2 linked regions of the Pelodiscus sinensis genome follow. The protein of the gene in region 2 interacts with the protein of the main gene of each other region in a biochemical or structural test. Links are inferred from orthologs where the notes say so. Each region holds a gene or a part of one and is shown on either strand. Other genes may lie near its edges.

Region 1 (7,962 bases), on a different chromosome or scaffold from region 2:
CACAGATGGGCCGTAGGTATATCTCTCAGGAGACACTACGGAAGAGAAGAAAGGTGAGTTCCCTTGGGACAGCACCACCAGGGACAAGCACCCCTCAGACTTCTCCACCCTCCCAAGCCCAACCTGGAGTCAACCCCCCCAGGCCCCCCAAAGCCCTGGTACCTGTTCGCTGCCTCTTCAAAGTGACGTAGGGCAACAGGTCATGCCTGGTCAGCAACCGCAGGAGCTGCAAGAGCTGCAGGAAATTGGTCTCGTCGCATCTCCCCCTCCTTTCTAGCTCCAGCAGCAGCTCCACCCCATTCCTGGGCTGGTGCCGCTCAGCCACCACCTCTAGGCTCCCGGCTGCCTCCACTGGAGCTCGCCTGTGCTGGTTCCTCCTTTGCCAGCTCTCTAAAAGAGGTGAGGGGGTCTCTGCTCCACTCTCCTCTGCCACAGCCCACAGCCCAGGGTCCAGGGGATGGGTCCAGGGCTGGGTCTCATCAAGGAGAAAGGAAAGCACAGCCACATCATTCTCAGTCAGCTGGGAGCCGATCACCTCAAACATGCGGTGTAAGGACACCATGCCGTAGTACTCCAAGCACTCCTCCTCCTCCCAGCTTTGGGAAACAACCGGGCGCTTCATTTCAGCCATTCCAGGTCACACGCCCGCAAATCAGCTCTGGCTTTGGGCAGTGCAGTGAATAGGAGGTGCTTTGGGGTAGGTGACTGGGAGGAGACTTGGGGTCTAACACGTTTTAGGGCTGAATGGAGAATGTGTAAGGACTCCTACACCACGAGATCTCTCTGGGCACTCGCTAAGGCACTTGCGTCTGAACAGCGTCTGCAAAAGGACAGGACAAGACCGTCAGTTGGAGCAGGAGCACTTTGGTGTAGTCGAGTGGGACAAGAAAAGCCCAGGAGTCACATGCCACCAGAATCCACTGTCAGGTCAGACAGTGGCAGGAGTGACTCTGCACAGCGCTGGGAAAAGGGAGCCAGGGCCCTTGTGCTCCCTTCCTAGTCCTGCATTTGTAAGTGATGGGTTGCAATTCTGTCATGAACTTTGGAATCCTGATGCCCTGCTCCTCGCCCAGAACCCAGGCATCTTGGCTCCCAGCGCCTCACCCTAACCTCTAGCCTTCGCACCCCTCCCCAAGCTGGGGCCAGATTCTAGGAGCCCCACCCCTGGCTCGCAGCACCACTCCCCTTGCTGCATTGGACTGTGAGCCTGTGCAGTAAAACCCGATTTCATGGCTGAGCAACAACATGGTGGCTCCCTGCGCAGGTGTCCTGGAGCAAAGGCACCACAAGGTGGCAGCAACCAGATGACTGGAACAAACAACAAGACCTGCCAGCACAGCTGGGTGCCTCAGATCTCCCCCAGCCCTTCTCCCCCACAGGAACAGGACTTTGCCCTCCCACCCCCAGCCTGTATCACTTCCCCACGCACAGCCCATGCCTTGCCCCCCAGGCTACAGGCCTCCTCACAGCGAGGATGTTCCTTCCGCACCAGCCCTGACCACAGCCCACCGTGCACCCAGCTAGAACAACCCCCATGGGCAACTATGGACCCCCCCCCCCCTCTCTGCTGGTACCACCCCTCCCCCCATGGGCAACTACAGCCTCACCCTGCCCTCCACCACCCCCTCACCCTTCCCCACAGGGAGCCACCTCACCCTGCCCTCCACAGCCCCTCCTGTGCTACTCCTTCCCCCACAGGCAACTACAGCCTCACCCTGCCCTCCCCCGCCCCCCATACCCCTCTCCCACAGGTAACCACGGCCTCACCCTGCCACCCCCATAGGCAACCACAACCTCACCCTGCCCTCCGCCACCGCCCCCCCACAGGGAGCCACCTCACCCTGCCCTCCACAGCCCCTCCGTGCCACCCTCCCCCACGGGCAACCGCAGCCTCCCCCCCATACCACCCCTCCCCCACGGTAAAACACAGCCTCCCCTGCCCCCCCGTACCACCCCTCCCCCACGGGCAACCGCAGCCTCCCCCTGCCCCTCCCGTACCGCCCCTCCCCCCACGGGCAACCGCAGCCTCCCCCTGCCCCCCCCGAACCGCCCCTCCCCCCACGGGCACCCGCAGCCTCCCCCTGCCCCCCCCGTACCGCCCCTCCCCCCACGGGCACCCGCAGCCTCCCCCTGCCCCCCCGTACCACCCCTCCCCCCCACGGGCACCCGCAGCCTCCCCCTGCCCCCCCGTACCGCCCCTCCCCCACGGGCACCCGCAGCCTCCCCCTGCCCCCCCCCGTACCGCCCCTCCCCCACGGGCACCCGCAGCCTCCCCCTGCCCCCCCCCGTACCGCCCCTCCCCCACGGGCACCCGCAGCCTCCCCCTGCCTCCCCCTTACCGCCCCTCCCCCACGGGCACCCGCAGCCTCCCCCTGCCCCCCCCGTACCGCCCCTCCCCCACGGGCACCCGCAGCCTCCCCCTGCCCCCCCCATACCGCCCCTCCCCCACGGGCACCCGCAGCCTCCCCCTGCCCCCCCCATACCGCCCCTCCCCCCACGGGCACCCGCAGCCTCCCCCTGCCCCCCCCGTACCGCCCCTCCCCCCACGGGCACCCGCAGCCTCCCCCTGCCCCCCCCCGTACCGCCCCTCCCCCCACGGGCACCCGCAGCCTCCCCCTGCCCCCCCCGTACCGCCCCTCCCCCCACGGGCACCCGCAGCCTCCCCCTGCCCCCCCCGTACCGCCCCTCCCCCCACGGGCACCCGCAGCCTCCCCCTGCCCCCCCCGTACCACCCCTCCCCCACGGGCAACCGCAGCCTCCCCCTGCCCCCCCCGTACCGCCCCTCCCCCCACGGTAGCCAGCCCTGCCCCGCCCCCCGCCGGTCCGACTCCCCCCACAACTCGGCCCGCCCGTCTCACCCAGCTCTCGCCGCCTCAGCCGCCGCTTGGTTTCTTCTGGCACCTTCGATCCCTCTGCGCATGCGCGTCCTGCGCCTCCCAGCAACTGCCGCCCGCGACCCCGCCCTGCGCATGCGTCTCCACATCCGGTCCCGCCCTGTCCCTGCTCCCAGCGCATGTGTCGAAACCGCCCCGCGCATGGGGCGCACGCGCCGCTCTCGGCGTCTCCCTTCGCGCATGCGCACACTGCCCCATCGGTGTAAATAACTGCCCACCGATCGTAAGCTTTCCCACTGACCCCTCCCCCATCGCGCCCGGCACGCGGACGTTCGCTCTGTGTCCACGTGACCCACGTGTGCGGGCGGGACTGACTAGCCCTGGGTGTCACGCCTGGCGCATGCGCAGGGCCAAGACCTGGGAAGAGGACGGTTTAAGGCGAGGCAGCTACGCTGCTAACGGAAGGGGGCGGCAGCGCAGCCGGCGTGCGCTGGGGAGGCTAATGGGCAGCTGCGCTGCTCGCGTAAAGGGGCGGTCGCAATGGATGGGGGCGGGGCGGCTACGCTATTGACGTAGTAGATTAAAACCTGTCAGTTCCCTCCCCCCAAGGCCTCGGCACGGGGAGGCGCCCTGCACACAGCAGGGAGGGAGGAGGAAACCCCCCCCCACACACAGCAGGGAGGGAGGAGGAAACCCCCCCACCCCACACACAGCAGGGAGGGAGGAGGAGGAAAGTTCCCCCCCCACACACACACACATCAGGGAGGGAGGAGGAGGAAAGTTCCCCCCCCACACACACACATCAGGGAGGGAGGAGGAGGAAAGTTCCCCCCCACACACACACACACATCAGGGAGGGAGGAGGAGGAAAGCGACCCCCCCCACCCCGCACACACATCAGGGAGGGAGGAGGAGGAAAGTCCCCCCCCCCAAACACACACATCAGGGAGGGAGGAGGAGGAAAGTTCCCCCCCCACACACACACATCAGGGAGGGAGGAGGAGGAAAGTTCCCCCCCCACACACACGCACATCAGGGAGGGAGGAGGAGGAAAGTTCCCCCCCACACACACACACATCAGGGAGGGAGGAGGAGGAAAGCGACCCCCCCCACCCCGCACACACATCAGGGAGGGAGGATGACAGCCCCCCCCAAACACACAGGCTACCTTACCTCCACACTGACAGCTTCTTGCGCAAGCATTCTTTTGTGGAAGAGTTCTTGTGCAAAAGCTCTCCCAAAAGAGAGCATCTACACTGGCATGTGCTTTTGCGCAAGAGCACCCGTGCCAGTGTAGACGTTCCCTTGCACAAGAAAGCTCCGATGGCCATTTTAACCACCGGGCATTCTTGCATAAGAAATTCATGTAGCCTGTCTATACTGGCCTCTTGTGCAAGAACAGTTGTGCAAAAGGGCTTATTCCTGAGTGGGCGCGTCAGCGTTCTGGTGCAAGAAGCCCTGATTTCATACATTAGAAGTCAGTTTACTTGTGCAAGAACTAGTGGACAGTGTAGCCAGGCAGCAAGTTTTTGCACAAGATCACGCCAGTGTAGACACAGCCACAGGGTGGGGAGGGGAGACATCAGCCATCTTCACAAGGAAAAACCAGTTGCTTTTCATTTTAACCTACCTGGCTGCAGTCTTAACGACCTTACTACATGCATCTTACTTCAAAGAGCCTTTCACACCAGATTACAGAGGGAAACTTCAGAGCTTTCTTTCATGCTTAAATCTGACACATTAGGAATGGACCTTAACAAAGATGCTAATTACATTACCCATTACCAAGATAGTTTCCCCATTTATCACCCCTGATTAGCCGTTCATTGACTAGCAAATAGCTATTCCCTACCTCCCTCTCCCTCACCTTCTGTACTAAATCTGATTTGTCAGTTTTATAATGTGTTCACTTTTTTCATTGTATTCCTTTGTTAGCTATGGTCCTGCCAATTCTCTTCCACTATTTGATCTGAGGAAGTGGGTCTGGCCCACGAAAGCTCCTCACCTAATAAACCACCTTGTGAGTCTGTAAAGCTCCAGCTTTCCCTTTTGCCTTAGCCAGCTCAGCCTAGCAGGGCCGGTCTATCCCTGTGTCTCCTGGTGGGGCGCCACTGCCCGTGTCCAATAGCACTGCCCAGCTGCCATAGCTCACACCCCGCGGGGTCTCTCCCTTTGTGTCTCTGGTGCACGTGTCCATGGGGGGGGGCTCCCTGTGTCCTTGCTCGAAGGGGCTGCACGGGGCAGTGCACCCTCCCCCCGGCACTGGCTGAGCCCCACCCTGGCGCCTCCCCCCGCCCCTCCAGTTTGGGGGCGGGCCCCGCAGACTCTGACCCGCTGGGGGCGGGAGGAGGCTCCAGCTGGCGGGGGGCGGGGTCAACGGACCCCCCCCACGGCCCTGAGTGCGGGGAGCCGGGGCTATGGCGCATGCGCGGCATTTCAGGGTGTCACGTGGGTTGTCCCGCAGGCTGTGCTGCCCAGGGGAGGTGTCACGTGTGCTGTCCCGAGGGGCGGGGTCGCGCTCCCCCCCCGCCTCGAAATCCATCATGGGCGGGGCTTCCTGTGACCGCGCCCCTCTCCCGGTCGCCCCGCCCCCGCCGCGCAGCCTCGTTCCCGCCCGCAGTCCGCCCGGGACGGCAGCCGCCCCGCCCCCTCAGTATCGAGCCCGCTGATTGGGCCCCGCCGAGCAGACGCCCGCGACCAATCAGGAAGCGCGGGGCGGCGGGGTCCGGCCGGGAGGAGACGGAGCGAGGCGGCGGTGGCCGAGCCGGGGTGAGTGACGGGCCCTGCCCCCCCCGAAACACCCCCCGCGCCGGGCCCCTCCCCCACAATCCACCGCGCTGGGCCCCGCCCCCAGAACCCCCCGTTGGGCCTTCCCCGCAGAGCCCCCCAGAAACACCCCCGGGCTGGGCCCTGCCCCCCCGCTCAGCCCTGCCCCCCCCGGGTCTGGACTCTGCCCCCCCCCCGCTCAGCCCTGCCCCCCCCGGGTCTGGACTCTGCCCCCCCCGGGTCTGGACTCTGCCCCCCCCCCACGCTGGGCCCTGCCCCCCCCCCCGGGTCTGGACTCTGCCTCCCCCGGGCTGGGCCCTACCCCCCCCCGCTCAGCCCTGCCCCCCCACGCTCAGCCCTGTCTCTCCCCCCGGGCTGGGCCCCCCCGACCTCCCCCCGGGCTGGGCCCTGCCCCCCCGCTCAGCCCTCTCCCCCCCCCGGGCTGGGCCCTGCCCCCCCACGCTCAGCCCTGTCTCTCCCCCTGGGCTGGCGCCCCCCCCCCCGGGTCTGGACTCTGCCCCTGACAGGTTCTCTCCCGCAGGCCATGGCAGAGGAGCTGCCCCCGTCGCTCTTCTTCCAGCACCAGTACATGTGCTCCGAGTGCGGCCTGCTCTACAACACGCTGGAGGAGGTGCTGATCCACCAGCAGAGCCACCTGGGGGAGCCCTGCCAGCCGGCCGGGCCCCCGCCCGAGAACCACTGCCAGTGCCTGGAGTGCGGCCGTGTCCTGCTCTCGCCCGACCAGCTGCTGGCCCACCAGAGCCTGCACCCCCGCCCGGCGCCCGCCGCCAGCCAGATCCACTACCAGTGCAGCGAATGCCAGGAGCTCTTCACTGCGCCCGACCTGTGGCTGGCCCATCGCCAGAGCCACAAGCCCCAGGAGGCCAGGACCCCCCCCGAACCGCCGGCCCCACCCCCGCCCGCCATGCACCCCTACGAATGCTCAGAGTGCGCCAGCCTCTTCCAGACGCCCGAGGAGCTGCTGGAGCACCAGGGCGAGCACTTCACCGAGACGGAGAAGGAGAGTGGGGAGCCGGCCGCGCCCGAGGGGGTCAAACAGGAGGCCCCCGGCTCCCCCGCCCCCTTGCAGCAGCCGGTGCCACCCCTGCTGCCCCCTCCCCGGGCCTGGCGCTGTGGTGAGTGCAAGCGGGAGTTCGGCAGCGCCGAGGAGCTGCGGCGGCACCGCCGGGAGCACACTTCGGAGGAGTTCCTGTGCGGCGAGTGCCAGCGCGGCTTCACCACGGCCAATCGCCTGCTGGCTCACCAGCGCGTGCATGTGGACGGCACGCACGAGTGCCCGAACTGCAGCAAAGTCTTCAAGAAGGCAGCCTCGCTGGAGCAGCACATGCGCATCCACAAGGGCGAGGCCCTGTACCTGTGCGTCGACTGCGGCCTGGGCTTCGGCACAGAGATGACCCTGGTGGTGCACCGCAAGAGCCACACCGCCAACCCCCTGCACCGCTGCGCCTGCGGCAAGTCCTTCAGCAACATGACCAAGTTCCTCTACCACCGCCGCACCCACGCTGGCAAGAGCGGGGCCCCGCCCCCCCGCGCTCGCGCCCCTGAGCCAACCCAGGTGCCGGAGCAAGAGGCAGCCCAGCCACCTGCTGCGGCCGGGGCAGTGAACGGCTTGCCGGTGCCCCCTGCGGCAGGCGGCTTCCTGTGCCCGCAGTGTGGCAAGGAGTTTTCCAGCCACATCCGCATGGTGCGGCACAAGCGGGTGGTGCACGTGCTGGAGCGCAAGCACAAGTGCCCCACCTGCGGCAAAACCTTCAAGAAGCTGGTGCATGTGCGGAATCACCTTCGCACCCACACTGGGGAGCGCCCCTTCCAGTGCACCGAGTGCGGCAAGACCTTCGCCTCCCAGGCCAACCTGATGCGCCACCACCTGACCCACACGGGCGAGCGCCCCTACCAGTGCGACGTCTGCCAGAAGCGCTTCACCCAGTCCTCCAACCTGCAGCAGCACCGGCTGCTTCACTCGGGTGCCGGCCCCTTCCCTTGCCAGGACTGCGGTGCCACCTTCTCCCGGGCCCACAAGCTGGCCCTGCACCGTGTCAGCCACACGGGCCGGTTGCCCTTCCAGTGCCCCGAGTGTGACCATTCCTTCGCCCGCAAGCGGCTGCTGGAGCTGCACCGCCTGGCCCATGCCGGGCGCGAGCCTCACCGCTGCCCGGACTGCGGCGCCCTCTTCGTCCGCCTGGCCAAGCTGGAGGAGCACCGGTGCGCCCACAAGAAGCTGTACCCGTGCCCGGCCTGCGGCAAGTGCCTGGGATCCCTGGCCAAGCTGGCGCTGCACCAGCTGGTGCACTCCGGCCAGCGCCCCTTCACCTGCAACCTCTGCGGCAAGGGCTTCACCAAC
Region 2 (7,586 bases):
AAAGGGAAATCAATTCTAGAGACCGACAAAGGCACAGCTTCCCTTCTGTCAAAAACAGGATGATAGGAGTCAGCTGTAAAATACAATAATCTGCAATTCAGGCTACAACACAAACAGGGAGATTCAAAGTTGGCCCCTTAAGCCTTCGTGAGAAACCATCTTGCATCATACACATTTTCTAATTAAATTCTGGGCGGACTTTTGTCCACATGGGCACACTCTAATTAGTCTCTAGACAAAAATAAAAGACGTACACCTGAAAAGATTAGAAAGTATATTTGTCAGGCCACAACAGCCATTCATGGTCCTTGAATAAATAGGAAGAGCCACCCTCAAATCAAACAGCAATGAAAATCAATACATTAGTTTGTTTTTATAAAGCTGTTTTACTTCCTCCATAGAATTAATTAATCCCTAATCCTCCATGTTGTGCTACCCTCTTCAGACCCCACAGTCCATAGAGAGCTAGTGCAAAATCAGAACATAAGATAGTTTATAAACTACCCCAAAAGCTTCTGAACACAGGAAACACTGGTAACTCATACATGAAAATCTTGTATTTCTGGTTGCAGCTACGCTGGCAAAAATGGGTCCTGACATTCATCAATAGCAGCTGTAGAGTTCTCAGGCTTCAAGCATTTTAACTATTGTCTAAACCTTCTACATTATAACAGTGGTGCCCATTGAATGTGGTATTTATTACTATGAAGTCACTTCTCATACCTTAGATTGAGGAATAGAAAAGACAAACAGGGTAGGAAGCTATCATATTTTTTAAAAGTAGGATAAATGTTCTGCTTGTCAGATTTGACAGCGTTCCTTGCCCAGGGGTGGGCAATAATTTTTGAAGTGGTCAAGGGTGGTCCCAGAAGGGGCAGGGCCCTATATTGTAAGAATACCCCACTATGTTTTTTACACAAAGTAATTAAATTGTAATAATTAACTGAATACAATATTATCCAAAGATTATCGTGAATTGTTCTTATGTTGTAAATTTGATCTGGCAGCTTCCTTATGCATGTGTGCCTTTTTTGCTTTATTCTGTCAATTGTGTCTGATGAAATTTTACTTATGCAGTAACTGCTTATGACTTCTTGCATTCGTATTTTTGCTAAAGCTCCTACAGCAAGGGATCTGGGTCTAACTGAATGTATGCTGATAAACTGGTGTCTCTAATGCCAACAACTTTCCTGCTTCTTATTAGTTCTTTGAATGTTTCCTACTGGCAATGATCAACAAGGTTATGACCCGTAATAGGGAAAGTCCTTTTGTTCCTGGCACCTTCTATAAGAATTTTTTCATTTCATACACAGTATTATGTCAATCTGTGAAATTATCTGGCCAGAAATCAGACAATGGGATTGTGCTGTGGGTGGGAGCAGCAATTGAAGCCCTTCCCTCTCCTCTCCCCTCCCCTCCAGGGCTCAGAGCGGGTGGGACAAAGCAAGCGGGGAGCCTGCCTGAGGCTCCCTGCAGCATCCGCAGGCTAGATCCGGTGGCTTCCTGGGCTGTATTTTGCCCAGCCCTGATGTACAGAGAGTTGTTTCATATCCACAATGACCATCGTCACATCAACAAAAATGGGACCCATAATTCAACATCAGTGTAGGTCTTCTTTGGAAAAATGTCTCAGTTCCACAGTGGGTCTGGCCCACGAAAGCTCATCTAATAAACCATCTTGTTAGTCTTTAAAGTGCTACATTGTCCTGCATTTTGCTTCAATATACTTACTGTCTGTTTTACGGTTCTACAGGGATCTGATCAGAGTGCTGCTAGCTTTACTCATACCAACCACGTATAGCATGGACATTGTGCAACCTGTCTGCTCCGCCTGCCTGTTGTCATCGTGTAAGCAGGACTAGGAAATACTGTTGCAACATTTCTGGGGGGACTCCAACCACCTCCCTCTGTCCCTGTGTCTGTTTGCCAGTCCATGTTTTGTTAAATAAGCTTTTAAACGCTCCGTGCCCCACCAGGAGTTTCTCAGAGTAGGAAAAGCCCATGAGCGTGTGCTGACGCTCTGCATTGTTTTTTAAGCAAAATGCAGGACAATGTAGCACTTTAAAGACTAACAAGATGGTTTATTAGATGATGAGCTTTCGTGGGCCAGACCCACTGTGGAACTGAGACATTTTTCCAAAGACCTACGCTGATGTTGAATTATGGGTCTCATTTTTGTTGACGTGACCATGGTCATTGTGGATATGAAACAACTCTCTGTACATCAGGGCTGGGCAAAATACAGCCCAGGAAGCCACCGGATTTTGCTTCAGCTACCCCAGACTAACACGGCTACATTTCTATCACTATTCTACGTTGTTTTTTACGACTCGGGAGCACTGGGCCCTGGGGCTGGCTGCTTGGCAGCCGCTCTCCTAAGGCCTGGGCGCTCTCTGGCTGTCGCGTAACCGGCCCCTGATCCCTTGAAAGCCAAAGCGGAACGAGCTCACTTCCCAGGGCAGCCAGAGAGTTCGCCCCGCCTCGTGCAGCCCTTTGGGTGGGTCTGCAGCCCGCCGACACTGCGGAGCGAGGCTGCCCGCGGGGGCTGCTCATCCGCACGGCGGGGCCGCACTCCAGCGCCGGGGCTCCGCTCCCAGGGGGGCCTCGGGAATCCCCCCCCCTCCACCAGCGGGGGTCACAAAGGCCGCCCCTCCCCTCGCTGGCTCCCAGGCCGCGGCGGCTTTGGAGCCCCGGAGCCCGGCCCCGCGGGGAAGGGGCAGGTTACGCACCCAGCTGCGCGCGGCGGGTCCCGGCGGAGCAGGCTGCAACGCGAAAGCGAAAGCGGCCGGGGCTGGCTGGCGGCCGGGGCGGGGCGCGGTTCTGCAGCCGCTCGCTGCTGCCCAAGCGCCTTTGTCCCCGCAGCACGGGGCGGGCCTTAGCCCTCGGGAAGCACTGGCCCTGGGGCAGCTCGGCACCGCCCTGCGCCTCTTCGGTCCTTGCCCCGCGGGGGGCGTGAGCCGGGAGCCGGGCTGCTCCGGGGTCCTGCTGCCTCCACTGCTCCGCACAAAATGGCTCTTCCCTGCGCTCATTGCGCACGGGCGCGGACATCGCTTGCGGCCAGAGATTCTACCTCGTACAATGCGGGGACCCCCCCCCCACTATACAGAATGTGGGACAATAACTCTCCCCACATTTCACAGCTGGGGCATCAGGCTTCTTCCCACATTGGAAATGGGAGCTAGGACTCAGGGCAGAGGGTTAGGAGATGGGGGCTCAGGGCAGAGGGTTAGGAGATGGGGGACTCAGGGCAGAGGGTTAGGAGATGGGGGCTCAGGACTCAGGGCAGAGGGTTAGGAGATGGGGGCTCAGGGCAGAGGGTTAGGAGATGGGGGCTCAGGAGTCAGGGCAGAGGGTTAGGAGATGGGGGCTCAGGAGTCAGGGCAGAGGGTTAGGAGATGGGGGCTCAGGAGTCAGGGCAGAGGGTTAGGAGATGGGGGCTCAGGAGTCAGGGCAGAGGGTTAGGAGATGGGGGCTCAGGAGTCAGGGCAGAGGGTTAGGAGATGGGGGCTCAGGAGTCAGGGCAGAGGGTTAGGAGATGGGGGCTCAGGAGTCAGGGCAGAGGGTTAGGAGATGGGGGCTCAGGGCAGAGGGTTAGGAGATGGGGGCTCAGGACTCAGGGCAGAGGGTTAGGAGATGGGGGCTCAGGGCAGAGGGTTAGGAGATGGGGGCTCAGGACTCAGGGCAGAGGGTTAGGAGATGGGGGCTCAGGGCAGAGGGTTAGGAGATGGGGGCTCAGGAGTCAGGGCAGAGGGTTAGGAGATGGGGGCTCAGGGCAGAGGGTTAGGAGATGGGGGTTCAGGACAGAGGGTTAGGAGATGGGGGCTCAGGAGTCAGGGCAGAGGGTTAGGAGATGGGGGCTCAGGGCAGAGGGTTAGGAGATGGGGGCTCAGGAGTCAGGGCAGAGGGTTAGGAGATGGGGGCTCAGGGCAGAGGGTTAGGAGATGGGGGCTCAGGAGTCAGGGCAGAGGGTTAGGAGATGGGGGCTCAGGAGTCAGGGCAGAGAAGCTGGAAGCTGAGCGGGGATGTTAACATGTACAAAGTTATCCCATAAGCCTGGACTCGATTAACCTGCACATCGCAGGCATCTGACACACACACAACAGGGGTGAGAGGAAGCAGGCTGACTCCCATGCCACTCTCCGCACAGAGAGAACGGGATCGGGCGCCTCCCTGCCTGTTGATATAAAACATGGTTGCCATGATGTCCGTCAGGATTCTGGTAATTGTATTCCGTATCTGGGACTAAAAATGTTCCCAAGCATGTCGTACCGCCCGTAGCTTGAGCACATTGCTATGCAACAGCATTTCTTGTGTCGACCAGCGCCCTTGGATCGTCAGGTTGTTCATGTGTGCTCCGCTGCCTGTAAGGGACGCATCGGTGGTTATTTGTCTTGTGGGTTGTGGGCGATGAAATGGGATGCCCGTGAGAAGATTGCTCAGCTTGGTCCACCACTGAAGGGACTCTCGTACATGTTGTGGTACCACTACTGGCCTGTGAACGCTGTGCTTTGCTGGGATGGAAATCGTTGGCTAACCAATGCTGGAGGCCAGTGCGAATGGTATAGTAGATCTCAGATCAATGTGAGCTACTCAGAAAGACCTCAAGACTTCTGTAATATGCTGCTTCATCAGATTCACTTTTGTTTCTTTTGCCTGTCCTTCCCTTCTCACATTTATCTCCAGACTTTTTCTTCTTGTCCAGATCTATTCCGCTCCCCAACAATCTTTTATTCATTGCACTTTTTGAAACTTGGCAGTTTGAGAGAGAGGTAAGGGACTGACTCTGTGTACACACATTTGCAGAGGGACAATAGGGTCAAGGTCTGTTATTTCTCACCTCTATATATTTCAGAGTAGCTGTGTTAGTCTGTAACTGAATGAGTAATCCTGTGGCATCTTAGAAACTAACGAAAGTATATATAGTATTGTGATCTTTCATGGGCAAAACCCACTTCATCAGATGAGCTGGAGTGGAAATAACAGGAACCCAGAATTTATAACAGAAAAAGAGGGGGTGGGGGTGGGGGGACAAAGGTATCTGTCAATTGTAGGACCCCTGCTAATGAGGCTAATTGAGTGGGCTGGAAGTGATCCATACTCAGCTTTTGATGTAAATGAGGTGTTAAATGTGGGGAAGGCTAGCTTTATAATGCAACATCCAGTTAATGTTTTTGTTCAAGCCCAGGGAAACTGTCACATTTGCAGATGAATGTCAATTCGGCACTCTCTCTCTCTCTGTAATTGGCTGATGAAATTCCTTTGCAGAAGAATGGATACTTTTAAATCCATGACTGAGTGTCCAGGCAGTTTAAAATGTTCCCCTACAGGTTTCTGTATGTTACCATTTCTGATGTCTGACTTGTGTCCATTTATCTTTTGTCATAGGGACTATCCAGTTTGGCCAATATACATGGCAGAGGAGCATTGCTGCCACTTGATAGCCTGTATCACATTAGAGGATGTGCAGTTGTATGATCCCCTGATGTTGTGACGTACGTGGGTAGGTCCCGTGATAGTGTCACTTGTATAGATATGTGAACAGAGTTGACAATGGGGTTTGTTGCAGGAGTAGATTCCTGAGATGAGTAAGTCTGAGGTGTGATGTGTGGCTGCTGGAAAGAATTTGCTTTGTTAGGGGGTTGTCCGTTGGTGAGGACTGACCTGTCTCCCAAGGCCTCTTAAGAGTGAGGATTGTTTGTAAATTGTCAATAATGTGCTAGAGGGGTTAAAACCTGCTTCTTCAAGACAGGCCCAACAAGGAAAATAATAGAACACCAGTTTTCATTACCTACAGCCCCCAGATTAAACCCCTCCAGTGCATCATTGACAACCTACAGATGCCAGGAGACCACCACTTACCACCCAAGATGCCTGCTTGAAACATCTAAGGCCAAGTCTACACTAACTCCACAGTTCTTGCTGCACTCTGGATGCAGCACTGGGGTGCCTTTGTGGACACTTAAATTGTTTGCTGCATTTTGATTGGCCTCCAGAAATGGCTCATAATCCCTCAAGTTTCCCTCTGTTTCTTGTTTTGAACTCAGCTGTCTGCCCTAAAGGCATGTGCATCTCCCCTTTCAGAGCTGTTTCTGACAGCCTGCATGCTGTGCTGATTTGCTCTAGGACATAGAGCAGACCATTCAGGTGGAATGCTCCTGCTGTTGAAAACAGAGACAGGCAGCTGTGTGTGAGAGAGAAGGGGAAAAAGAGAGAGCTTGCTGTGCAAAGAGCCAGGCAGGAAGAAGGGGAAGCTGAGATGTCAGTGGCAAACCTCCCCCAGACCTCACACCCCCTCCTTCACCCTAATTCCTTACCCCAAGCTCCCTCAGGACAGGTTGTCCTGCTCTCTGAACTTACAAGACAGCATGCTGACATCCTCCAAAACACATGATCTCCCGCCTCTCCACATACATACACACTCTCACCTCTCCCTGGATTTGTTGAAAAGCTGCTGTCCATGGATGACCACGGAGCAATGGGATTGGGAAAACTGCAATTATGCTGACTGCCCCATGAGGCACTGCAAAGCCTTCCCACAGTACACTGCTCTCTGTGGCATTGCAAGAGCTGCTAATGTGGACATGTTCCACCATCATAAGGAGCACAATGTGGACACACGACAGCGGTTTCCCTACAACACTCTGTGAGCAGCTCTGTAACTGCCAGAGCTCTACACCTGTCAGTGTATACATAGCCTAAGACTGAACAAGGAGAAGAATCAGGCCCAAAGTAGGAGGCTGCCTAGCTTATGAGAAAGATGATTAGAACTACTGGTAGGATGAGCATTTGCATGTAACAAGTTTCTTAGTGATTGAGGTTTAACTGACTTGTTTTGTTTTATCTTTTGCTTAGTTACTTACTTTGAGCCATCTGTTATCACTTAAATCCTACTTTTTATACTTAATGAAAATGCTTTTATTTATTATAAAGCCCCGTGTAAATAATTGTTACCTGGGAGGATAGCCACAGTTATGTGTAACCTACACATCTACTGGGTGTGGTTTATTGTCCCATGTAGTGGCACTTACAGAGAAAATGAGTTTGTTCTACAGCCTTTGCTGAGAGCCTGCCGACTTTTTGCTCAGCTGTAGAGGCTTATGCACTAAGCTCCAGAGGTCCCAGGCTTGGTTCTGCCAGTTGACATTACATGTGCATTTCTCTCTTTCATTGATAAGAGTGAATCTGATTAGTTTTGTGTGTGCAAAACTTTTATACAGAGCAAGATGGAAATATTTGGGGGTTTGGTCCCTTTTGAGGGCAGGACTCCTCTACGCTGTCAAGGCCCTATAGCTGAGCCCCCTCCCCAAAAGCTGAGCTGATTCAGCATCTGTGGTGTTTGGCTAGGGAGCTGTTAACCCAGCTCTGTGCTTTCATTAGGGAAGACCAAAACTTATGGCCAATCAAGACAGGATGGTGAATCCCAGAGGACAGTAAGTGAGCTCAGTGGTATGATCACACCAGGTAACAGCCCCAAAGGATGGTGGACCTGGATCCTCCTCTCTCCTCCAGTTCCCAGCTCAGGGCCTTGTTAGTGGTGGGCTGTCCCCCACTATTCGCTCAGTGGGGAATCTGCCCACAACACACTG

Evidence for each region.
Region 1: the proteins of CFLAR (region 2) and DEDD2 form a complex in vitro, tested with the Homo sapiens proteins (2 studies listed by BioGRID). The link is inferred for Pelodiscus sinensis from reciprocal best matches to the Homo sapiens genes CFLAR and DEDD2.

What each region holds. Positions count from the first base shown.
Region 1 is NW_027465888.1:149,789-157,750, forward strand, and holds the start of DEDD2 (DNA-binding death effector domain-containing protein 2), read right to left. Parts: upstream 3,015-7,962; 5' UTR 2,859-3,014; intron 821-2,858; 5' UTR 632-820; coding exon 163-631; intron 36-162; coding exon 1-35. Other genes in the region: zinc finger protein 526-like, read left to right, coding at 6,145-7,962. UniProt on the Homo sapiens protein: May play a critical role in death receptor-induced apoptosis and may target CASP8 and CASP10 to the nucleus. May regulate degradation of intermediate filaments during apoptosis.
Region 2 is NC_134717.1:73,715,106-73,722,691, reverse strand, and holds the start of CFLAR (CASP8 and FADD-like apoptosis regulator), read right to left. Parts: upstream 3,001-7,586; 5' UTR 2,730-3,000; intron 1-2,729. UniProt on the Homo sapiens protein: Apoptosis regulator protein which may function as a crucial link between cell survival and cell death pathways in mammalian cells. Acts as an inhibitor of TNFRSF6 mediated apoptosis.